Oryctolagus cuniculus: one gene and its partners. The protein of the gene in region 2 interacts with the protein of the main gene of each other region in a pairwise test. Links are inferred from orthologs where the notes say so. Each region holds a gene or a part of one and is shown on either strand. Other genes may lie near its edges. The genes, in order: FURIN, MARCHF2 and LDLRAD1.

Region 1 (3,600 bases), on a different chromosome or scaffold from region 2:
CCGTCACCTCGCCATCCAGCATGCGCACCCCTGGCCGCGGAGGGGCGGGAAGAGGGTGCTGCGTGGGTCTGGCTGCCAGGAGCACCCGGGGGACGGCCCGGGAGGGCCGAGGCGGATGCCGGGAAACCTGTCTGCCTCTGCCCCCGGCCACACGACAGGACTACAGGGCGCTTCTGGAGCACGGCCACCGCAGCCTGCCCCCGGAGGACTTGGGGAGACGCCGCTAAGTGTCCACCCTCCCCCCCCACCGCCACCAGCCCCTGTCTAGCTCTGAGTCCCCAAGAGCCCTCTTCAGAGTGTCTTCCAGGTCACAAGTGTCCACCACGGGGAAAGGCAGGCAGGGCCAGATGGGAAGTGGCAGGGAAGGGTCCTACGGGAAGGGTCCGCCCACCTGGCAGAGGCCACACCCACCTCCAATGCGGGCATTATAGGCCACGCCCACACCGCAAACACCGTTGTTAGCCACTGCAGCCACTTCGCCTGCGCACCGCGTGCCGTGCCTGCCAGGGTCAAGAGCACGGTGTAAGTGGGGTAAGCAGGTGCAGCCAGAGGAGCAGGAAGAAACCACACACATAGGGCAGCACCATGACCACCGCCCCGCACGTGTGCACGGCCCCGCCTCTCCACTCCGACCAAACCCGTGGAAAAAGCCTGCAGCCTCTTGGGTGGGGCCCGCCTGCACCCTCGGGGAAAGAGGGGAGGCTGAGGACAGGCGCCTCAGCTTCTTACCTATTATCGTTCATCTGTGTGTACCGGGGCTGGGGGTCAGGGTCCTGGTCATTGACATCGAAACTGGCCCCAGGATCCTGGGAAGCACGAGGCTGTGGTCAGGAGCCCGCTGGCCACACTGGCAATGGGACAGCCCCTGCCCGCCTATCACTGCGCCACCGCCTCCCTCCCCCGCCTCCTCACATAATTGCCTGCCAAATCCGGGTGGTTCTTCTCAATGCCGTCGTCCAGGATGGAGACCACGATGCCGTGCCCCGTGTAGCCCTGGGCCCAGGCCTCCTTCACGTTCAGGTCCCGCTGAGTGACACCAGACTGCAGAGACACCCGCCCCCGGCCGTTAGGGGAGGTGGCTGCTCGGACGAGGGTGGGCTGTCGTGGGTGTCCCTTCATCACCCCCAAATCTCTCCACCACCCCAGGGCGGGGGGCAACCTCCAGGCTCAGCAGGATGGGCTGGGGAGAGACTGCCCGGCAGCAGCAAAGCCAAAGAATCGGACAGAGCCTCGAAGTCGGCCTCACGCTCCCCACGGGAGCTCCCGGACGGAGGAGCGGCACCCACAGAGGCAGCGTACCAGGTACCACTGCTGGGGGAACTTGGGGTCCGTGGGCTCCTGGTACACATCCCGTTTGCTCCGTCGCTTTGCTACCTGCTGCTCCAGCCACTGTACCTGGGTGGGAGGGAAGGAGAGAGAGTACGGGTGGGTGGGGGCGGAGGAAGCGAGAGGGAAGCGGAGGGAGGCGGCAGGAAGCATCAGGGCCACACTCACTTGAGGCTCCCTCTGCAGCCGGCTGTGCCGCAGGCGGTGAGGCGACAGCGACCGCTTTGTCACTGCTCGGTGCCAGAAGTGGTAATAGTCGCCGAAGATCTGCAGGAGAGCAGGGAGACTGAGCTGGGCTTTCCATCTGTCAGTCCCCGGGGAGGCGGGGGACGGGGGTGGACAGCGGCTCAGCAAGAACACACACAGGGGACCAGCAGGGACCTGCTGCTAAAGCCACGGCTCCCGCCCCACTGGCTGCCCGTACGCCCCAGCAAACCGGCCTGACAGTTCCTGGAGGAACACCCACCTGGCCTAGGTTGAGGAATCCATGCTTCCGCGCCACACCGTCAGCCACCGCCAGGCCCCCAGGGATGCGCACGGCCCACGTGTTGGTGAAGACCCTCTGGCTACAGGCATTGGCTGCCAGCAGGACCAGGGCTCCTGCTGTGGCTAGCACCCATAGCAACCAGGGCCTCAGCTCCATGGAGGGGGCAGGTGGCTGGGACCCCGGAGCACCCGTCTCCTCGGCCTGGTCACAAGGCCTCTGCTTCCCCGTGCCTGCTCGCTGCCTGTGGCCCGGGGCTGACTGGTGGGGGCATGGGGCCGAGGTGGGCAGGGCTAGGATGGGAGGAGGGCGGCTGCAGGCTCTGGAAGGAACGAGAGAGGGAAGGGGGGGAAGTCAGCCCCTCCCTGGCATGGAGGGAGGGAAGATGCCCTCCCCACCCCTCGGCTCAGCCCAGGCCTGGAAGGGGCGCTGGAGGAAGGGGGCCAAAAAAGGAGAATGTCCCAGAAGAAGTTTGGACCCGCCCCCTTGTCAGCCGGAAGTAGGGACAGATGGATTCCCCATGGCGCCCCACCCCCAGCAAGTGTGACACTGAGAATGGGACGAAGCACATCAAGGCTCCAGTCACTCAAAATCAGAAATGACAAACGAGTCCTTGCCGTCACCAAGGAAAACGGGACACGCGACCGAGCAGGACGGACACAGCATCTCACCTGGTTTTTAAATACCAGGTGAACGACGCACATTTCTACAGCACCCAAAACAAAATCTGGGGGGGACACACGCTAAAACGTTCACAATGGTCCCTGCGGGATGGCGACTGAAATTCCGAGGACCTGCTACGGTCTTCCCTGTGCATTGTATGCCCTCCACATCCCCCAGGGGCTTTCCATAAAGGAAGAAAACATCGCTGTTTTAAAGTTATTTTAAAGAAACATCATTTGCACAACTCACTGGGGTGCCTGGTTCAACAGAACAGATTCAGCCACCGGGGGGCGTTACTGGCAAAGACCACAGCCCCCGGGAGGGAAGTGCGAGCGACCCTGGCTGGGATGGGGCTTGGGGCCCCCCCAGCTCTGAGTACAGGAGGGTCACAGAAGCTGCACCTCCTGTGGCAACTCAGACGGCGGCCGCTGGCAGAGCCGGGCGCCCAAGCTCTTTCTACTGTTTCCTGGGGAACGCAGGGGCCTGGGGGCCCCCTGACTGCCCCCTTGCGTGCTCCACGCCCACCAGCCTTGCGTAACCCGAGCCCGGGCAGCCAGGGCAAACAGTGGCTGCTGAGCCAGGAGAGCCAAGGTGAGGCTGAATCAATAGTCCGCCTGTTGTTTTCCCTCCTTCGGCAAACAGACGCCGGGACCTCTGTCCACAGGGCCACATAACTGTCCCCAAAAACCAAGCCCCTGGGCTAGGGGAGAGTTGGCTCCCCAGGGTACCACTTCTAAGCAGCTCTGCCGGACAGGCGGGGGAGCTGGGAGAGCAGGCTCGCCAGGGGAACCCCCATCCCACCCCCACCCCCACCCCCCCTTCTCCAAGGGCCTCCCTGGCTGCGGCACTCCCACCCTGCAGGCGGGGGGGGGGGGGGGATGCCACACGCAGTTCCTAGAGTATTTTCAGTTTATACCAAAATAACCTGACAGCTGATGGCAGGAGATATCCACAGCACAGCTCCTCCAGGCACCCACGGGCAGAGTCCACAGGGCTTCCTGGCTGGCCTGGGAGCCACAGCCCTGGGGATGGCTGGTTAAAGCCTGTCTGAGCAAAGACTGGACAGCCCACTGCCCCGGCCCTGGGAGCCACGGGACCCCACACCTCTCAACTAACAGAGGACATGG
Region 2 (10,402 bases):
AGCCTGCCAGGTGCATGGGGAATGCAAGGAGCTTGTCAGAACATTCCAGCCACAAAGGGCACCCTTGACACCACCGGCCACAGCTGCTGGCCCAGCAGACACCCAGTGGGCCAAGGAATGAGATCAGGGTGCTTGTTCTGTGCACAGCTCAGGAGCACATCCATTTGTCCTAGTCGTGTACAACAATATGCAAAAAGAAAAAGAAAAAAGAAAAAAGAAAGACCTGAAAATATATTCACACAGGATCACAGAAGAGGCTCCACTGGGCGTCTGGTGGCCTAAGAAGCATTCCAGCCGTCGGGGAAGGGTCAGGCAGTCTCCGTCCTCCCAGGCGCCTGGGCATGGCTGGTCGCCCCAGCCCCTCGGCAGCAGTAGGGCTCCCGCCAGCCCGACGCTCACACGGGCGTCTCCTCTGCCACCTTCTTCAGGAGTCCGGCTGCCAGCGCCGAATGCTGAGAGCCCTCGGGGCCATCTGCGTCCCGTATCTTCAAGCGCACGTGCTGGTGGGTCCTTCTCCACTCGGAGTAGAGCTGGCAGTGGTAGCGGAAGGAGACCTGCGGGGCAGCACTGCAGTGGGTGGGAAGGCGCGGGCAGGCACGGGGGTCCAAACTAGGGCAGGGCTCCTGCTTCCAGAAGCAGAGCCAGTATGCGGCCGCGTCCTGCACGCACTGAGCCCGCGTACATGCACCGTGAGAGGCCACTCCCCCCACTCCACCACCGCCAACTTGCTCTCTATCTCCTGGTGGGAATGCAGCCATTCGACCTCTTGGCAGGGGTTAACTGTCAGTTCACACCACTGCCTAAACTTGGAAGCCACCAAGATGCCCCTCAGGAGGTAAACAGATAGTGGTACAGCCAGACAATGGAATATTACTCAGCCCTAAAAAAGAAATGGTGTCCGGGGGTGGCATTTGGTGATACTTAAAGACTCTATTTGGGGGGCCAGCGCTGTGGCATAGCAGGTAAAGCTGCCGCCTGCAGTGCCGGCACCCCATATGGGCGCCGGTTCCAGTGCCAGCTGCTCCACTTCTGATACAACTCTCTGCTATGGGAAAGCAGTGGAGGATGGCCCAAGTCCTTGGGCCCCTGCACCTGCATGGGAGACCCAGAAGAAGCTCCTGGCCCTCGGCTTTGGATTGGCACAGCACAGCTCCAGCCATGGCAGCCAATTGGGGAGTGAACCAGCGGATGGAAGACCTCTCTCTCTCTCTCTCTCTATGCCTCTCCTTCTCCCGTGTAACTCTGACTTTCAAATAAATAAATAAATCTTTAAAAAAGACTATTTTGGATGCCCACATCCTGTATCAGAAGGTCCAGATTCAAGTCCAGGCTTCCTTCTGATTCTGACTTCCTGCTAATGCATCTGGGAAAAGCGGCAGAGGATGGCCCAAGTGCTTGGGCCCCTGCCATCTACCTGGGAGACCTGGAAGAAGCTCCTGGCTAAGTGGCTCCATTGCAGCCACTTAGGGAGTGAGCCAGCAGATGGAAGTTCTCTCCCTCTCTAACTTTTGTAACTCTTTCAAATAAATAAATAAATCTTTGGAAAAAAAAAATGATGGAGCCAGTAAAAGACCAGTGGTTGTCAGGGGTTAGGGGAACAAGGGACGAAGAGGTGGAGCACAGAGGATCCCGAGAGCATGGAGCCACTCTGTGTGATGCAGCGATGCTGGACGGGTATCTCACACACTTGCCCAAACCCAGGGGATCCAGCGCCCCAGGATGGAGGAGGAAGTGTAATGGGAGCTGTGGACGCTAGGTAACAATAATCTGTACTTGAAGGCTCACTGCTGTAACAAATGTAACCACTCGGGGGGATGGGGAGAGGTTTGATGGTGGCAGAGGCTGTGACGGCAGGAGACCATCCAGGGGAACTCTCTGCTTTCTACCCAATTTCTCATGAGCCAAATAGAGTGTTCTTTAACAAATAAATAAAGAAAAATAACCTCAGTGGCTCCTATCCCTTGACCAAGCATTCCTAAGAAACAATGACACAGGCAAGCCCCCGAAGACTGTTCATCATGGCCAAAAAAACACAGGGGGAGGTGGGAGTTGGGGAAAATAATACATTGGAAAGAATCCTAGTGTCTATCAGAAAGGATTGGTAAAATAAATATGGACACCCAGACGAATGAATGACTGTTGGGCGGCTGCCTGGTGTTTTGTTTTGTTTTTTCAAATGACACCAGCAAAGTGAAAACAAGCAGGCTGCAAAATAGTACTTGTGGCTCCATCCTCTGTATATTAAAACACACATGCGAAACTTCCCAAGTTATTCTAGAATCCAGGTTTGTGCCAGTTTTGCAAATAAATTCTATTCTAAGTTCTACCTCAAAAAAATAAACACATACACACACACACATGTGCTGTCAGAGGCACTGTCAGATACATTCCCCCAACAGGTGGAAAACAGGGGCACTTTTTCTCTCTGAGCCACAGTTCTAATGCCTACAATGAACCTGGAACAACAAACACCACCCACCTCAGTCACTCTCACTGTCACTGTCATTGTGTGCATCTCTTTCAGCCTCAATTGCTTCCTTTCTCACTCTTTTGGTCGGTCTGTCTGTCTCTCTCTCTCTCTTTCTCGCTGTCATTCAGTTTTCTTTTTTAAAGCTGTATTTATTTACTTGAAAGGCAGAAATAAAGAGAGAGAGAGAGAGAGAGAGAGAGAGAGAGAGAGAGAGAGGTCTTCCATCCGCTGGTTCACTTCCTAAATGGCCTCAATGGCCAGGGCTGGGCCTGGCTAAAGCCAGGAGCCAGGAGCCAGGAGCTTCTTCCAGGTCTCCCACATGGATGCAGGGGTCCAAGGACTTGGTCTATCCTTTGCTGTTTTTCCAGCCATTTGCAGGGAGCTGGATCAGAAAAGGAGCAGCCAGGACTCGACCCGGCACCCATATGGGATGCCAGTGTGGCAGGCGGAGGCTTATCCTTCTCCACCACAGTGCCAGCCCCACTTGGTTTCCTAATCAAAATCTCTCTACCCTCCAAGTCTTTAATCAACCTCTGTGGCTCTTGTTTCTCTTCCTATTTTCAATGTCTTAATCAAAATCTCTCTCCCTCTCTCTCTCTATCTCTCTCTCTCTCTCTCTCTCTCTCACACACACACACACACACACATCTTGCTTGTCACCTCTTCTTTTGGTCTCAGTCTCTCTCTTCTTGCTCTCCTAGTCCATTTCTTTTTTGTTTGTTTGTTTGTCTTGGGTTTTTTGGTTTTTTTTTTTCTAGTCCATTTCTTGGTATCTACCTCTCTCGCTCAATTTCTTTTTTTAAAAAATTTTTCGTTATTATTTTTGAAAGACAAAGAGAGCCCCCATCTGCTGGTTTACTCCCCAGATGCTAAGGTGGGGCTGGGCCAAAGCTGGGAGCCAAGAGCTCAATCCTGGTTTCCCCTGAGGGCAGCAATAACCCAAGTACTGGAGCCACCACTGCTGCCTCCCAGAGTGCACGTGAGCAGGAAGCCGGAGCCAGGAGCCAGAGTCAGGTGCTGAACCCGAGTGCTCCACTGTGGGGTGTGGGCATCTAAAGGGGCATTTTACATGCTGGGCTAAGTATATGCCCTCTAATTTCTTATCTCCCTCCATCTCATCCTTTTCCGGTTTCTTTCTTTCTGTTGCTTTTCCTTCTCTCTGCCTCTCTCTCTTAGTGGACCCTGCACTCAGGACTGGAGATCAGAACCATGTACACTCAGAGCAGAAGGCTGAGGCCTGGCTCAGGGCTTCCCTGCACCAGGGCCAGGCTCAGAACCTGCAGCTTCACAAAACACAGGCTGAGGCCACACGCAAGGGACAGCCACCAAAGTCACTGACCACACCCCCGGCCCGGCGGTGACTCACCAGGGTCCAGAGGACGTAGATGGTGAAGAGGGCGATGGTGAGGGCGATGAGCCCCACGGCCTCCAGCCGGCTATGCAGCCGGAGATGGTCCTGGGCCCCGCGCAGGCATAGCCAGCCCGAGATGGCGGCCAGCGGCGTGATGAACAGGAAGCACACCATGTCGCAGCATAGCGTCCGCTTCTCTGTCCGTGGTCCTGGGTCCTTCAGCCACTGCAGGGAGAGAAGCGCAGCAGGCTACAGGGGAGTGGAAGGGCAGTGCCTCCAGGCCTGGGTCTCCTTCCACCCTTTCCTTCTTCCAAACGCTTACTGAGCCTCGATGAGCCAGGCCCTACTGGGTGCTGGGACATGTGCCCCCCCTTTTACAGGTGAGGCAAACTGAGGCACAGAGGAATTCATCGACACAAATCCACATAGCTAGCACATATTATAGCATCCCTAACATAAAAAGCTGAGGTCCAAAATGCTTCCAGATCTTGAACAAGTGGAAAATGCCACACTGCGGAACTTTGCTTCCTGCACCGTCATGGAAAAAAAAATGTATAAAGTGACTGTCAACCTGTCTATGCCAGAAGGTGTACATGAAACACAGCATCTCATCTTCAGACTTGAATTCCTCCTGACCCCACAACATAGCTCATTCTGTACGTGCAGAGGTTCCAAAATTAAAAAAAAAAAATCCACAAAGCAGATGATGGGCAACGGAAATGAGCCTGGCTCACAGAGTCCTAGTGGATAGGACAGAAAGGGTCCCTGCTCTCTCATGCTGGGGGGCAAAGGAAAAGGGGTGGGGGGTCGGGGAGGGGAAAACAAGCTGGAGGAGGTAATGTCAAGGAGAATGGAATGAGCAGAAAGAGCTGATGAAGAAGGGAGGAGGGAACGGTGCTCCAGGCTGCAGAATAGCAGGTGCAAAGGCCCTGAGGCAGGAGTGGGAGGCCAAGATAAGGTGCAGTAGGCAGGAGGCCCATGCAGTTGGAGAGCAAGGACCAAGTGCAGGGTGGGAAGGGGTGCGGGCAGGGCCTGGGTCTCGCTCCCACAATTCTCCCCAGAGCTGGGCTCCTGGGTGGATCAGAGGCTTACTCAGGGGCCCACGGTCCCCGGGGCTCTTCACTGTGGCCCTGTCTACTATGGGGCAGCATTCCCCAGCCTCAGGGATGGACTCTGCTCCCCATACTTGTCACAAACCAATGACATCCGCCATACAGTTCTGAGTCACCCTAGGCCAGGCTGGGCAGGGAGAAGCCTGGTGCCTCAGGGGCCCAGTGGCCACCTGCGGATGCCCTGTCCCCACCCTGATCATCATACTTGGGCTAAAGTCCAAACTCCAGGTGTGACTGCTCCTACCCCCTTCAGGGGTGCTCTCCTCCTCTCTTTTAACTTGATCATTTGCTCAAAGCCATTCAGGCTTTGTCAAGAACACAGAGCTCTCCCAGACCTCAGGGCCTTTGCACGTGCTGTGTCATCTGCCAGGCTGCCCATCCTCAGCTTCTCTGCATGGCTGGCTCCCATTCACCCCTCAGGTCTCCTACCCAGGCCTTGCCTGACACCTTTCCCCCTGCCCCCTGTACTCCCCCTCGCCCCCCTCCCCTCTGCCCACCCCAACCTTGGGCTCCCCAGGTTTACCTCTGTGAGGGGCCGAGGCCGCTTCTCTACTGCAAATTCCGTGTGGCACAGCTCGCAGTAGCTGGTGTTGGACGAGGAAAGCCACTTCTCCAGGCAGCTCTTGTGCACGGCGCCCAGCGTGCCCGTGCAGCCGCACGGAGACAGTAGGCTCTCCCCATTCGCCCCCTCATGGCAGATCCGGCAGAAGGGACAGTCGCTGGACACAGAGACAGGAGCTGTGAGCCACCATCGGACCTCCCACCTGCACCCGCTCCACTATCCACTGAGTCTCAGGATCTCTGTTACGACCATGTTGCCACTATGTTGCGAACTCCTGCTCACCCTACAATGCCCAGCTCCAAATACCCCAGCCTTTGGGACTCCCACAAGCAGAATGATATGTTCCCTCCCCAGGGCCCCTGCAGCACCCTTCTAGGCCCAGGATGATCATCTCTTATACCTGCCTGCCCAACGTCCTCGTTATCTCTTTCCTGCAAAACCACCTCCAATTGTCCTGTGCAAACCATCCCACTCTTGGCTCAGTGTTCAAGGGCTAGGGCAGAACCGATGACCTCTGACAACCTTGGGCCTGACCAATCAGAGCATCACACACCCCTGATGTCACGGGGACCAACTCAGGAAAAGGCCTGTGGTACAATCAGAACCAACAGGAACTGGGGCTAGCGTTGTAGCGTAGTAGGTTAAACTACTGCCGTGGCAACATCCCATATGAATCCAGCCACACCTGAAGGCCATGCTGGCCGAGAAAACTGTGCTTCCAGGGAGAACTGCTCGCTGGTTCTGCATCTGCAGAAAGCTGCCTCAGGAAAGCCGCCAGCCCCCCGCCCCAGTCTCTGGGGATGTTGAGTCCTTCCTGGGGCAGCTGCAGACGCAGGGGGAGTGGCCGCAGTGGGCTGTGAGGTTATCCAGCACGTGAGTCATTGCTCTCCGAGCATGTCTGCCCAGAAAACAGTTATGCTGGGAACACACAGAGGAGGGCAAGCGGGAGAGCTGTTCTCCAGATAATGTTGGCTTCCTCTCAGAGTTTTCTGTCCCTGTCTGGGACTCTCCTGCTGTAGGGGTGGGGAGGGCCTGGTGACCTCTCTCTGTTTTGTCCTGGCCCTGGGCTGCTAATTTCTCCCATGATGTCAAGAGAGCCATGCCCGGTCTCCTTCTAACCTCAGACCCTGATCCTAACACACATACACAAAAGTTAACAGGAAAGGAATTCCCTGCTCCGGAAACCACTCAGGGAAATGGAGTGACAAGAACCTTGAGGAAGAGCCCTTCTGGAGAGCTCTGCAGGAGCAAATTCAGAGACAGGAAGGGAAAAATTAAAAAAGGCAAAAGCAAGGCCTAATATTTATTGAGCATTTACTGTGTACTGGGCACTTAGGAGCCACCTTTGGATGCACTGGTTCCTAGAATGGGACCTCAGAAAAGTCACAGAACAATGGAATTAGAAGATAAGTTTAGGGCGATGTTGTGGTGCAAGGGGATTAAACCATTGCCTGAGATGCTGGCATCCCATATGAATGCTGGTTTGAGTCCCGGCTGTTCCACTTCCCATCCAGCCCCTGGCTAATGCCTCTGGGAAAGCAGTGGAAGATGGCCCAAGTCCTTGGGCCCCTGCATCCATGTGGGAGACCCAGATGCAGTCCCTGGCTCCTGGCTTTGGCCTGGCCCAGCATTGGCCGTTGCAGCCATCTGGGGAGTGGACCAGTGGATGGAAGATCTCTCTCTCTCTCTCTCTCTCTCTCTCTCTCTCTCTCTCTCTCTTTCTGTCTCTCCTTCTCTCTCTGGCACTCTGCCATTCAAACACATAAAATAAATCTCTTTTGTAAAGATAATTTTGGAGGTATTGGATGCAGCAGTTAAGCCACTGTTTGGGATGACCACATCCGCTGGCAGAGCGCCTGGTTTGAGTCTGGACTCCAGCTTCCTGCTAACATACATCCTGGGAGGCGGCAGGTAATGGCTCAAGCAGCTGGGTCCCTGCCAGCCACGTGGGAGATTTCAGAAGGAGTTGCTGGCTCCTGGCTTTGGCGTGACCCAGCCATGGCTGTTGTAAGCATTTGGGGAGTAAACAGTTAGGTAGCAAAATAGACTTCAGCCTATGTGTGTGAGAGGGGCCGGAGGACAAAAATAGGAATTTTTGTGTGGTCAGGCGAGGGAAGAAACGTAGGAGCAGCCTTGGGAGTGGACTGGCAGCTGCACCTCGGCAGTCTTCCCTTGGTCAGAACCCCCTTAGGTGGGTCCCAGCCCTCCCCTGGGGGCCTGTGCCATCCCAGAACACTGTGCTGATGAAGTCCCAAAAGGAACTGCACGCATCTACACCCAGGAAGCCCTCCAACCAGCAGCATCCCAGAAGGAGGCGGGGGGGGGGGGGGAGGAAACCTGTGCACCCAAACCTCTCTCTCTAGCTCAGTTCTTTGCTGAGATGCCCCTGGTCACTTACTACTCCTCTCTGTCTCACGTCTGAAATTCTGTTTTTTTGTTTGTTTGTTTGTTTTCTTTTTTTTTAACATTGATTTATGTATCTGAAAGTCAAGAGTCACAGAGAGAGACATATCTTCCATCCACTGGTTCACTCCCCAAATGGTCACAAGCCAGGAACTAAAATCTTCCTCTGGGTCTCCCACGTGGGTACAGGGCCCAAGCACTTGGGCCATCATCCGCTGCCCTCCCAGGCCATTAGCAGGGAGCTGGAGCAGAAATAGAGTGGTCAAGACACGCGCTGGCGCCCATAAGGGATGTTGATGTTGAAGTGGCAGCCTCACTAGCTATGCCATAACACTGACCCCTGAAATTCTTTTCTCGGACAATAGAAGAGCTCTCGCCATCTGTCTCTATCGCTCTGCCTTTCGAGTAGATAAAAATAAATATTTAAAAGATATGTTTATTTTGATGCAGAAAATTTTGAAATCTATGCATGGATTTTTTTGTAATATTTATTTTTCCATGGACCTTTTGAAGACCTCCTATTCATTTGCTCCCATTTAACAGGTGATGAAGCTGAAGTCCTGGGGAGGGACTTTCTGGGGCTGTGACCCAGAAAGTCTGCCCCCCAGGGCCTGAGCACCCCAGCAGGCAAAGCACACGAACAATGTGTATTGCTCAGGAGCTCAGGCTGGGGCCACAGTGCAAGGGACATGGGCGGGACATCAGCGCAGAGAGGGTATGGGCAGGATGTGCTCAGACCCTCCCATCCCCGCCCTGCAGGCTGCCCAGAGAATGTTCCAGAAAGAAGAGACAACATGAGCAATCAGAGCTCAGGAAAGAGGACAGCAGGGAGAACACCAGGAAATACTCCGAAAGGGCTGGGCAGAGAGCCAGAGGCTCGGAGTCCCCAGAGGCTGACCCGAGCCTGGGCCTTGGAGGACTGTCCTGCGCCTGGGAGATGCCTCCTGCGCCTTCTTCTTCAACCTCCGCAGCTTTAAGAGCCCCGAATTCTCCACCTAGCACAGTCTCTGCTGTGTGCCCTGAGGAATCAGTCTCCTTTGAGCAAATGGAAGATTTGGGGTGTTTTTTTAATGCTTATTTATTCATTTTTGCTTATTTGAAAGGTAGAGCGACAGAGAGAGATAGAAAGAGAAAGATAACCCATCTGCTGGTTCACTCCCCAAATGCATGCAACAGCCAGTGGCTGGGCCAGGCCAAAGCCAGGACCCAGGAACTCCAACCGTGTCTCCCACATACGTGGGCCATCACTGCTGCCTCCCAGGTACATCAGCAGGGAGCTGGATTGGAAGCAAGACAGGACTCGATCCCAGGCACTCTGATGTGGGATGTGGGATGTGGACTTCCCTACTGGCAGCTTAGCCTGCTGTGCCACAATTCCTGCCCTTGACTCTTATGATAGTGGAACCAGCCAAGGTGCTGGGTACAACTGGTGCCCCTGAGGCCTATTCCTGGGCCTCTCAGATGGCAGAGACTCACTAGGAGTTAGAGGTCAGCCTGTGTGGCCTCTGCCAAACCCAGCTCCTGGCAGTGGTGGGAGGAGCCCTATTTGCCCCTGGGGAGGCTGGAAGGAAGACCCCAACCCCGGAAGTTACCTCCAGATACATGGCAGCATTCACCCCATGCAGAGCTCTTCTGATCTGCCCTCTAGCCTGGGGAGGTTTGGGGCGAGATGTACCCAAAGAAAGGAAAAGAAGCAAGGAGACCCTTGGGCCGCTGAGCTGTGGGCAAAGAGGCTGAGGGACAGACCCAGGAGAGCCCATGGTCCCACCAGCTGCACCCTGATCGGACAGAACCCCAGCCACGGTCCCAGAGAAATGGCACAAATTGGCCGAGGACAGGAGAGAAAACAGCAGGACTCGCATAGGGGCCACTCTGCTGCCTGCTGCTGGCCTGGGTCCCTGAGGGCTGCAGGAAAGGCTGGCAGGGGCCCAGGGCGCAGCCTTTGCTCCGCTCAGCAACCCATACAGGTGTCGGCTTCCATCTGGGCTTTTGTTTTCCCAGATCTCAAAGAGGGGGCAAAGTGGGGACAAATAACTCACTCAGGGCTTCCCAGACACACAGCTACTCAGGAATCCCAAACAGAGAGACCCCAGTTACAGCCACCACGGCCTCCTCCCCACCTCCCAGCCCTCACAGCCCTGGCTGGGAGGCCCCTGGGTCCACCAGGGAACTCCTATGTCCCAACCTCCTTCAACCAGCACAGACCCCTTTCGGCCTTCAAGGGGGTCTGACGGAGATGCAGACACATGAGCCAGCACCTCAGAGGATGTCCAGAAGAACACCGGATATCATCTGGGCTCACACGAGTCTTCTTGGAGGCTAAGACACTGGGCAGATCTGTAGGGAGCAACAGCTCTCTCTCTCTCTCTCTCTCTCTCCCATCCTTGTATCTTCCTCTCTCTGTAAGTATGTCTTTCAAATAAATAAAATAAATCTTCAAAAACAATTAAAAAAAATTTTTTTAAATGCAGTGAATTAGCCTTGCAGTTAAGGATGCCCAAGTT
Region 3 (10,432 bases), on a different chromosome or scaffold from region 2:
ACCCACATGTGCACACAGGTACTGAGTGGGGGTGAGAGCACCTTTGTGTCCTGCGCACGTTAACCCTGTCTTGGTCCTCAGACCAGCCTGGGTTGCTGGAGGGAGCTGGCTCTCAGGGGTGCTGGTGTTGTCACACACACACACACACACACACACACAGATGTGCATACAAATACTCCCACACAGTCAGGTATGTGCACTCACACACCCCTGCAAACGCTGGCACATGCATGTAGATGTGCATCGTTGCACAGACACACACGCAGACACAGGCACGTGGGTGTGTGACTGCAGCCCACACGTACCCCGCCCAGGCTGGGACAGACTGTGAATGGTACCTCCTCCCCCACCTCCTTCCCTTCCACCTGCCCTGCCTGGCTATGAAATGATCACTCAGAGAGGAGAAGGTGACCCTAGCCCCCAGCTTACGCCCTTCCATGGCTCCTGGACCACAACTCCCTCCCCAGGGCAGCCTTGGAGGCCCCGGGCTCCCAGCTCACCCACTGCCCCAGCCACTGGTGTCCACACGCCTTCCCTGCTGGTCCTCACGCCTCCTCCATCCCCGGGAACTGCTCGCATGCTGTTCCCTGTGCCTGAGTGGCTTGTCCTGACACTCCCTCCACCAACCACTCCCCTCTTTCCCCTCATGCTCAGTGCCCTGTGGCTTCTCCAAGGGCCATCCTGCCTCTGAGACTGGACCAGAGCCGCTGCTCCAGACTCAGCCCTCCCGCTAGCCTGGTCTGAGTGTGCTACTCAGAGGGACGTCATGGCTGGTAGCCACTGGGGCCAGGTTGCTGGAATGTACTGGACATGGCCCTGATCTCTGGGGTGGAGACAGGTGCATAGGTGGATGAGACCTCCCAGGGGGACTGGGGCAAGGTGAGAGCAAGTGTGGGGAGACAAGGCTCCTAATCCAACCTGGGGCTCAAGGAAGGCTTCCTGAAGGAGGACTCCAGGGCAGAGCCTCTCGATAAACTCGCATCACAGGTATGCAAATGGAGGCTCAGAGTCACACACAAGGGGACCTCAGAATACTCGCGGAAAAGTAAAAGATACATTTATTTTGGTGCAAATATTTTTTGAGCTCCATGCATGGTTTTTTCATCATGCACACTTTCCGCGAACTTTCTATAGCGCCCCCGTGTGTTTGTGGGTGTACAGGAGTCTGTCCAAAGTCACTTCGTGGAGAAGTCTGGCGGGCTCAGGACTCCTGCACCTGTGGCCCCTTGGCTCTCCCCTGCTGACACCCCCCCCCCCGCCTCCCGCCGCCGACCCCAGACCTGGCGTGCGTGGCGGGAGTCCAAGGATGATGGCCAGCGCGACGAGGGCGGCGAGAGTGGCCAGCAGGAGCAGCAGAGAGGCCGAGAGGCAGGCTCCCCGGCGCGAGCAGCAGAGGGGGCTGCAGTCTGCTGTGAGGGAGACACAGGCATGGGCACCAGGGCTGGGGTCCTGGGGTCCCCCAGCCCCGCACCTGACCCCTGTCGGCCGCCCCTCCCCCTCGCATGGGCTGGGGCAGGGACACCTTTGCACCGCTCTGTGCCACTGTCCGGAGCCACCCCTCGCCAGGTGCCTGGCCGTGGCCTGGGCCTCTGCTCCACGCCCCAGCCTCCCATCCACCTCCTCAGGACACAGGCAGGGGCAGGCACATGTGGCTCCAACCCCTAAGACAGGGCAGAAACCCCAAGTCCTTCAAGTTACTGATGAAGAACCTGCAGCTCGGCGGGGATGTCCACATCACTGCCTGCGGGGCTGGCACGCGAGTCCCTGTCTGAAGCCACAACCCATGCCCTCTCCACGCGTCTGGCTGCTTGTCCACTTGGGAGCCCGCCAGGCTGCCGGCTGCCTTCCAGCGGGGCTGCGGGGAGTCCCTTCACTTCCGTGTGCCTCAGTTTCCTCAGGTGGGAAGTGGGGCTCACAGGAGCTACCCCGGCATTTGCCGAGAGTCCGTGGTGTGGGAGGGGGTCTGCACGGAGCTGTGGCCCAGGCGCACCTGCCGTGTGCCGAGCTCCATTCTAACCACGGTGGAACAGCAGCGACTGCGGCCGCCTCTGCTCTTGCAGGCCTGTACTTTGCTCCTTGAATTCTCCCTTGCTTGCAAAACAAGGAAAGAAAGCTTCCCTGGGGACCCACTGGGCGCCCTGCTCTGCAGAGAGCACAGAAGTAGCCGTCACTGTGGCCCTTGCCCTTAGGAGCAAGGGGCGGGCACAGATGAGGGAGAGCGTGAGCTACGTCCTGTCCGGGTCTCAGGCCCGCGGACAAGGGGGCAGGAGCAGGTCTCACCGATGCCTGTGACAGCAGAGTCCAGGCCAGAGGCGGGCACACAGTAGGTGCTTTGTAAGTGCTTAGTGCACAGGCTGCCCCAGAGGTCAGGGAGACAAGGGCAGGCCCCCAGTTTGCATCCGCGTGGGTCATTTTCATTCAAACCCCTCCTAGTTCCCCGGAGCTGCCTCCAGGTGGACCCGTGCCCACGTGCTGCCAGCCCCAAGCGCCAGGTGTCAGCGCAGCGAAGAAGCATGGGCCAGGTGCCGGGGTAGGGGGGCTGGGCAGGTTGGGGAGGGCACAGTGAGGGTGTGGAAGGAGGAACGGCCTGTTGGGTGGCATGCAGCCAGGATTGGGGGACGGGGAACAGGAAGTGGCCTGGCGTGGGTGGAGCCCAGGATGGGTGTGCACGGGGAGAGGAGACAGTGGGCGATGCAGACGAATCTCAGTCGGAGCATCTGGCACAGCAGGCTAAGCTGTGTCCGCGAGGCTGCATCCCCTGTGTGCTCCCGGTCACGCCCCGGCTGCCTGGCTTCGGATCCAGCTCCCTGCCTGGGAAAGCAGTGGATACTGACTCAACTGCTTGGGTCTCTGCCACCACGTGGGAGACCGGGATGGAGTTCCCGCTCCGGGCTTTGGTCTGGCCCAGCCCTGGCCATTTACAGGGAAGATCTCCCTCTCTGTCTCTGTCTCTCTGTGCCTTTCAAATGAATACATAGATCTTTAAAGATAAGTTAGTAAAACAGATGATTCCCGCAGCCCGGGTCAGCGGCTCCCGGGTCTGTTGGCAAACACAGGTTCACTCAGGTAACCAGGGAGACGACGTGTCACTGGGCCAGCAGAGGCCGCTCCTCCAATACTTGTGTGGCCTGGCCAGCCGTGTGCAAGGTGTGGTCACAAGAGAGACTCGAGACATTGCACTGCTGAGCTGGACGCCCTCGGTGGCCAAGCCTCTCCCTGGAGCTGGAGCTGGAGCTAGAGGGGAGGGCCTCTGCTCCACACCCACCCCCACCACGAGCCCGCACCTGGAAATCCACAAACACCAGCCTGAAGCAACAAGGGCACTGGGGCGCTACCACCAGAAGGGCCGTGCTGCCCTACCTCGGAATTCGAGACCTGCACCCTCCGGCCCCCAAAGCTCCCTCCCAGCGTTATGACCTTGGCCTGGTTGCCTAACTTCATGGCTTCAGCTGTTCCTGCCCACAACAGGGCCCCCCTCTCAGAGGGGCCCTGAGGGTTGAAAAAGACCCTGTGGTGCCAGGTACACAGTAGGGGCTTGATCCTTTGCGGCTGGCAGCGTCATCTCTCCGGGGCTCTTTCCCCTTGCTGCAACGTGGGCCGAGACGGAACACATGGGAGACACCCCATCAGTGAAGGTACGGAGTGCTGTCCTAGCCACACAGTGAGTCTGCCGTGTTAGCAGGCGCTAAAGAAGCGTGTGATCCTGACTCACATCGTCCCTCAGAGGTAAAGAGAACTGCCCAGGTCACCCACTGCTGCTACCGGTGGGTACTGCGTGCACTGTCAGCACCTGAGCGATAGGCGGCGCTAGTAGGTGCTCAGTAAGTGACTGTGGACCTGGCTGGCCGGGACGCCGGGAGCAGAGGACACCACAGTGGGAGGCAGAGGTCTGGGCTCCCGCAGAGCCCCCAGCCCAGCTTCAGGCAGCCCCCCTGGGCGTGGGGAGTGCCCGCCTTTTACCTTCCCCTCTGGAGAGTGTTTTGGTCCTAGCAGCAGCGTTGCCAGTGCCATCTCCCTGCCAAGAGAACAGAGCAGGGGGTGTACTTGGGTAAGGGAGTCAGCAGCCTCAGGGGTCACGGACAGCTTCAGATGGAATCACTGGACCCTCCCAACGCGGGGTGCTAATCGCCCTAAGTCACCCTGACTGTGTCACAGTTACACACCTGTCCCCCGTGCCCCATGCTGGGAGCGCCATTTCTTCCACTGCCTGCCTGCCACAATCCGCCCCTCAAACCTGCCCAGGCAGCTCCCCAGCGAGGCTTTCCCTGATCTCCTAACATCATCCACTCCCCTGGCCCCTGTGCACCTGCACCCCGGCTTCCTCCCAGTTCATCATTGAACTGTCCAGTTGTGTCACGTGTGGGGCCTGATACCTGGGAGTGAGCCCCTGGGGCAGGGTGGGAGCTGACTCACCTCAGTGGCTGGGGCAGGTGCAGTATTAACCTGGCCCCTTTCCTGCCCTCACCTGAGTTTGCTTCCTGCATCAGGAGCTACGCAGGGCCGCACTTACCTGGGGGAAGACCTTGTTCATGTTTCCAGCTCTCAGCGTCCAGTCTCCAGGGATACAGGGCAGGTTCCCTCCCTTGTCACCAGGGCAGCCTGGAGGAGGGGCCTCGCCCTGGCCACGCCCTCCCAGGCAGAGGAAAGGAGAGCAGGGTCCTGATGCGCCAGGCCTCTCCCCACTCTGCAGTCCAAGAGCAACACGCCAAGGCTGCAATCCTCATTCCCCTCTTACAGACCGCAAGCAGAGCCGAGATTCGGAGAGGGAGACTGGCCCAAGTCACACAGCAGGTGAGAGGGGTGAGACTTAAGCCCAGCGATTTTGCAGGGCCTGCGGTGAGACTGGGAGCCGGCAGCCCTCAGCGTGTGAAGAGGCAGCCAGTCATGGCACAGGTCACTGTGTCAGTGGCCAATAAGAAGGGTCATTTAATTAAATAGATAATTCAGGGCTGGTGCTTTGGCATAGTAGGTAAAGTGGTCGCCTGTGGCATCCCACATGGGCACCGGTTTGAGTCCTGGCTGCTCCACTTCCAGTCCAGCTCTCTGCTATGGCCTGGGAAAGCAGCAGAGGATGACCCAAGTCCTAGGGCTCCTGTACCCACATGGGAGACCCGGAGGAGGCTCCTGGCTTCGGATCACCACAGCTCTGGCTGTGGGGGACATTTGGGGAGTGAACCAGCGGATGGACAGTCTCTCTCTCTCTCACACACACATACTCTGCCTTTCAAGTAAATAAATAAATCTTTTAAAAAGAATATGCATTTCCCACTAAATTATAAAGCAACTGTAATTTTTCATCATTTTCTTTAAAAATGTGGCAGGGGCTTTTCCCATTTGTGGCTGAGATGAAGCTCAACCCTTCTGTGGCTGAAGGAGGCATTGCAATGCAGGAAGGCCGAGTCTCCCCCGTCCGGGAGAGCTGAGACAGAAGCTCAAGGTGTGCTCCACGCCCGTGTGAAAGGAGGCGCAGTGCGAGAGGTGCGAGGACACCGTGAGGGCCGGCAGATGGGCAGCATGGCCCGGGGCTACTGGAAAAAATCTGCCATCCACACTGAACAGGTGCGGCGGGAGAGGCCACAGGCACACCTGTCCTTGTGGCAGTCATCCAACAGGGTGGTTCCTGCTGGCTTGAAACTGGACAAAGACCACAAAAAAGATCCTTTTTTTTTCTTTCTACCCCCTCCGACCTCTGAGTGTCACAGGTCCCAGGGAGCACAGTGTCCTCAGGAGTGGTCAGAGCCCAGCGCTGGACGTCAAACAGGTCCCCAGGTGCAGCCTCTCAGGAACCCGGCCCAGGAGGAAGCCACCCCTCCCCTGCCCTGCGGCACAGAGCCACCAGGAGGCAGCCTCTTTTGTTCTTACCTGGACAGGTGGCAGAGGTGGCCCTGGCGGAATCACCGGGATGGCGCTGGCAGTGGGCGGCCTCTCAGCTTGAAAGCACGCTCTTTGCACAGCACGTAAAAGGATCCTGGAGCGCAAAGCCAGGTCTCACCGAGTCTGACAGGGGAAGGGCAAATGTGAGGAAGCAGCACTCAGGAAGATGCCAGAGTAAAGTAATCTTAGAGACAACTTTCACTTAAAACTGCTAAAACAAAACAAGCACACGAAACGTGGCGGGGCAGGCGTTGGCCTAGTGGTTAGGACACCTGCGTCCCGTCTCAGAGTACCTGGTCTTGAGTCCTAGCTCCACTCCCTTCCAGCTTCCCACTAGTGCCCACCTTGGGAGGCAGCAGGTGGAGGTGGCTCAAGTGCTTAGGTCCTGCCACCCACGTGGGAGACTGGGATGGAGTTCCTGGCTCTTGGTTTCAGCTCAGTCCAGTTTCAGCTGTTACAGGCATTTGGGGAATGAATCAGCAGATGGGAGATCTCTCCTGTCTGTCTCTATGTGTCTCTTTGCCTCTCAAATAAATAAATAAAATTAAAATATGGCAAAGTGCATTCTAGTTTTCTCTGAGACAGTGCTGGGGGTGGGGATGAGGCAGGGGCAGGTTGTTGGCTCTAGTGATCCCTTACTAAAGATTTATTTCGGCCGGCGCCGTGGCTAATCCTCCACCTAGCGGCGCCGGCACACCAGGTTCTAGTCCTGGTCGGGGTGCCGGATTCTGTCCCGGTTGCCCCTCTTCCAGGCCTGCTCTCTGCTGTGGCCCAAGAGTGCAGTGGAGGATGGCCCAAGTCCTAGGGCCCTGCACCCCATGGGAGACCAGGATAAGTACCTGGCTCCTGCCATTGAATCAGCGCAGTGCGCCGCCCGCAGCGCGCCAGCCACAGCGGCCATTGGAGGGTGAACCAACGGCAAAGGAAGACCTTTCTCTCTGTCTCTCTCTCTCACTGTCCACTCTGCCTGTCAAAAATAAAAAAAATTAAAATTAAAAAAAAGATTTATTTTGCTTATTTGAAAGGCAGAGTGACAGAGAAAGAGAGAAAGAGAGAGAGAGTGAGAGAGAGAGAGAGCTTTTCCCTCTGCCAGTTCACTCCCCAAATAGCCACCATGGCTGGGTGGGCCAGGACAAAGCCAGGAGCCAGGAGCTTTTTCCAGGTCTCCTAAGTGAGTGCAGGGGCCCAAATACTTGGGCCATCTTCTGCTGTTTTCCCAGGTGCATCAGCAGGGAGCTGGACTGGAAATGGAGCAGCCAGGACTGGGAACTGCTGTTGGTGCTGCAATGGGATGCCGGCATTGCAGGCGGTGGCCTAACCTGCTGCACCACAGCAGCAGCCTCCCCCCAGCGACCCATCTGTCTACCCACTTGCAGTCTCCCCAGCAGCCTAGCTCCCTGCTAGGAAGACCATCGTCCCAGAAGCGTTTCACTCTGGACCAGAGCCCAGACCAAGGGAGAAGGGGAGGTGTCCTCCTCCAGAAACCAGCCCAGGGGTTCTAGGCTGGGGTCCCCTGGAAGCCTGCCTCTGATGCCCCTAGATTGCTCACCTATGGCCAGCCGTTTCTTTTGCACTGGGAAATAAAACGCCCACTCCCTGGGAACAAGGGTGAGGAGGGCAGACATAGGGGCAGCCCTCAGGAAGCGGGGAGCTACAGAGAAACAGCTGAGCCCCGCACCAGGAAAACGGGGTTTGGTCAGGCCCTGCAGCCGGCTCTCACGTGGGCAAGCAACCCCCCTTCCCGGGCCTCAGTGCCTGCTTCCACTCCCTAGGAGACAGACTAGACGAAGGGTGCGTTTCAACTTAGGGCTCCCAGGAGTCAGACCCTAGGACAGGACTTGAGGGCAAGTGGATTTCACTGGGGCGGAAGCATGCTTAAAACCTTCCAACACCTCTCTGCTGGACTCAGAATCCAGCGCAGGTCTAGTAAAGCCCATTATTACCTGACGCATCTCGCCCCATCTATTACGGTGCTTTTGTAGGCTGTAGCTCAGCTAACTGAACCATGCGCAGTCCTGGACTCGCTGGCCTCAGTCTTTATGCATCCCGTCTCCACTGCCCCAACGCTGCTCCCTACACCCCGCTTGCCTCCGCCTCCAGGTTTAAGCCTGGCTGTTCCTTTCAGAAGTTTAGGCTCCTCCTATGTGCCCATCTTGCCATAGCACTTACCACAGTAGTTGTCCCTCTCATTGGACTCTGAGCAATTGGAGCCTACTTTCCCTCAGGGTTGGCAAGTGGTTGTTGAACAGGTAAACTAGGGTCTCCAGGCAGAAATGGCCTTCGTGTGGTGGTGCAAATAACTAGAAACCTCGAGATCCATGATTCCCAATATATGGTCTTTTTTTTTTTTTTAAAGATGTATTTATTCATTTGAGAGTTACAGAGAGCGGTCTTCCATCTGCTAGTTCACTCCCCAAATGGCAGCAATGGCCAGGCTGAAGCCAGGAGCCAGCTCTATCCGTCTCCCATGTGGGTGCAGGGGCCCAAGCATTTGGGCCACCCTCTGCTGCTTTTCCCAGGCCATTAGCAAGGAGCTGGAACGGAAGTGGAGCAGCCAGGTCTTGAACCCTGGCCCATATGGGATGCCAGCAGCATAGGTGGAGTCTTAATCCACTAAGGCACAGTGCCAGCCCCACAATATGTGGTCTTGATACTTAACGGTCCACAAAAATTACAAAGGAGCTATTTATGGATTAAAAAAATCTTCATAGAAATGACTCATTTATCTAAGTTGAAGGCAAATAACAAATGGTGGATTGTTTCTTTTTGGCTTGAATATGACTCAGAGTAACAAGGTTTTATGTTTATGTGATCAATAGCAGACTGATGCATCACTTGTTTCTGAGACAACACTGAAACCAGATAATCTGGTAACCTTTTTTTTTTTTTTTTTTTTAATTTGAAAGAGTTACAGAGAGAGGTCTTCCATCCACTGGTTCGCTCCCCAAATGGCTGCAATGGCCAGAGCTGAAGCCAGGAGCTTCTTTCGGGTCTCCCACGCGGGTGCAGGGACCTAAGGACTTGGGCCATCCTCTACTTCCTTCCCAGGCCATAGCAGAGAGCTGGATCAGAAGAGGAGCAGCTGGGACTAGAATCAGCACCTATATGGGAGGCTGGCACTGCAGGCTGAGGCTTTAACCTACTGTGCCACAGTGCCAGCCCCAGTAACTTCTGATTTACCAAAAAATTTATCAGATAAAAGGTGCCACACAGTTTTGTTAAAAGATTTGGAACCCAGGCCTAGGATCATTCATCGTGGTAATGACTATTTTCTAATTGTCTGCATGCGTGTCTCTCAGCTGAGGGACCCTGAAGCAAGGACTCCAGGAGTGGGGTAGGTGTGAACCAGAGGCCTGTGGTGTTGAGAACTGGCCTAGTGAAGACTCTCCAGATGTCTCTTCCTGGTGGAAGCAAGGAGCCAATAATTTGGGCCCACCCAAGTCACAACTGCTACTTTAAGGAGTGGCCTGGAGGCTGTTTTATTGTTTTGATTGAATTTTCAAGATCAGAAACATTTTTATGTTGCATACTTATGGGGGTTAATTTTCTTTTTCGTTTTTTGGAAAGTGAAACCCAGGGGCTAGTGCTGTGGTGTAGCAGATTAAGCTGCCACCTACAGTGCCCGCATCCCATATGGGCACAGGTTTGAGTCCCAGCTGCTCCACTTCTAATCCAGCTCCCTGCTAATGTGTCTGGGAAAGTAATGCAAGATGGCCCAAGTACTTGGGCCCCTGCACCCATGTGGGAGACCCGAATGAAGCTCTTAGCTCTGACTTCACCCAGCCCTGGCCACTGTGGCCATTAGGGGAATGATCTAATTCTTTGAATAAATAAATGCTGTGGCCCGGGAGTGCAGTGGAGGATGGCCCAGGTGCTTGGGCCCTGCACCCCATGGGAGACCAGGAAAAGCACCTGGCTCCTGGCTCCTGCCATCGGATCAGCGCGGTGCGCCGGCCGCAGCGCGCCGGCCGCGGCGGCCATTGGAGGGTGAACCAACGGCAAAAGGAAGACCTTTCTCTCTGTCTCTCTCTCTCACTGTCCACTCTGCCTGTCAAAAAAAAAAAAAAAAAAAAAGAATCTTTGAAAAAAAAAAAGTGAAATTTGTCTTTTTGAAAATGTCAGTCTTGGCTGGCACCGAGGCTCACTAGGCTAATCCTCTGCCTATGATGCCAGCACCCCAGGTTCTAGTCCCGGTTGCTCCTCTTCCAGTCCAGCTCTCTGCTGTGGCCCGGGAGGGCAGTAGAGGATGGCCCAAGTGCTTGTGCCCTGCACCCCCAAGGGAGAGCAGGAGGAAGCACCTGACTCCTGGCTTTGGATCAGTGCAACGCGCCAGCTTTAGCAGCCATTTGGGGAGTGAACCAACGGAAGGAAGACCTTTCTCTCTGTCTCTAACTCTGCCCGTCAAAAAAAAAAAAAAAAAAAAGAAAAGAAACTGTCAGTCTGGTTTAGTGATGCTAAACTAAAAGGGAGGAGACAGATATAAGAGTGTCTGCTACTGGGTGTTTCCAATTGTAAGGAACTGTCTTACAAACAAGGGAAATAATTTGGTGAAAATGGA

The links.
Region 1: the proteins of MARCHF2 (region 2) and FURIN interact in a protein complementation assay, tested with the Homo sapiens proteins (2 studies listed by BioGRID). The link is inferred for Oryctolagus cuniculus from reciprocal best matches to the Homo sapiens genes MARCHF2 and FURIN.
Region 3: the proteins of MARCHF2 (region 2) and LDLRAD1 interact in binary tests that used the Homo sapiens proteins (3 or more experiments, as listed by UniProt). The two-hybrid records come from large-scale screens. The link is inferred for Oryctolagus cuniculus from reciprocal best matches to the Homo sapiens genes MARCHF2 and LDLRAD1.

What each region holds. Positions count from the first base shown.
Region 1 is NC_091443.1:100,383,094-100,386,693, forward strand, and holds the start of FURIN (furin), read right to left. Parts: upstream 2,123-3,600; 5' UTR 1,970-2,122; coding exon 1,793-1,969; intron 1,594-1,792; coding exon 1,495-1,593; intron 1,396-1,494; coding exon 1,300-1,395; intron 1,042-1,299; coding exon 913-1,041; intron 807-912; coding exon 730-806; intron 501-729; coding exon 412-500; intron 31-411; coding exon 1-30. UniProt on the Homo sapiens protein: Ubiquitous endoprotease within constitutive secretory pathways capable of cleavage at the RX(K/R)R consensus motif. Mediates processing of TGFB1, an essential step in TGF-beta-1 activation.
Region 2 is NW_027208201.1:4,469,460-4,479,861, reverse strand, and holds part of MARCHF2 (E3 ubiquitin-protein ligase MARCHF2), read right to left. Parts: intron 5,653-10,402; coding exon 5,457-5,652; intron 4,071-5,456; coding exon 3,837-4,070; intron 555-3,836; coding exon 396-554; 3' UTR 1-395. UniProt on the Homo sapiens protein: E3 ubiquitin-protein ligase that may mediate ubiquitination of TFRC and CD86, and promote their subsequent endocytosis and sorting to lysosomes via multivesicular bodies.
Region 3 is NC_091438.1:118,976,674-118,987,105, reverse strand, and holds the start of LDLRAD1 (low-density lipoprotein receptor class A domain-containing protein 1), read right to left. Parts: upstream 6,456-10,432; 5' UTR 4,532-6,455; coding exon 4,511-4,531; intron 4,016-4,510; coding exon 3,961-4,015; intron 1,410-3,960; coding exon 1,281-1,409; intron 1-1,280.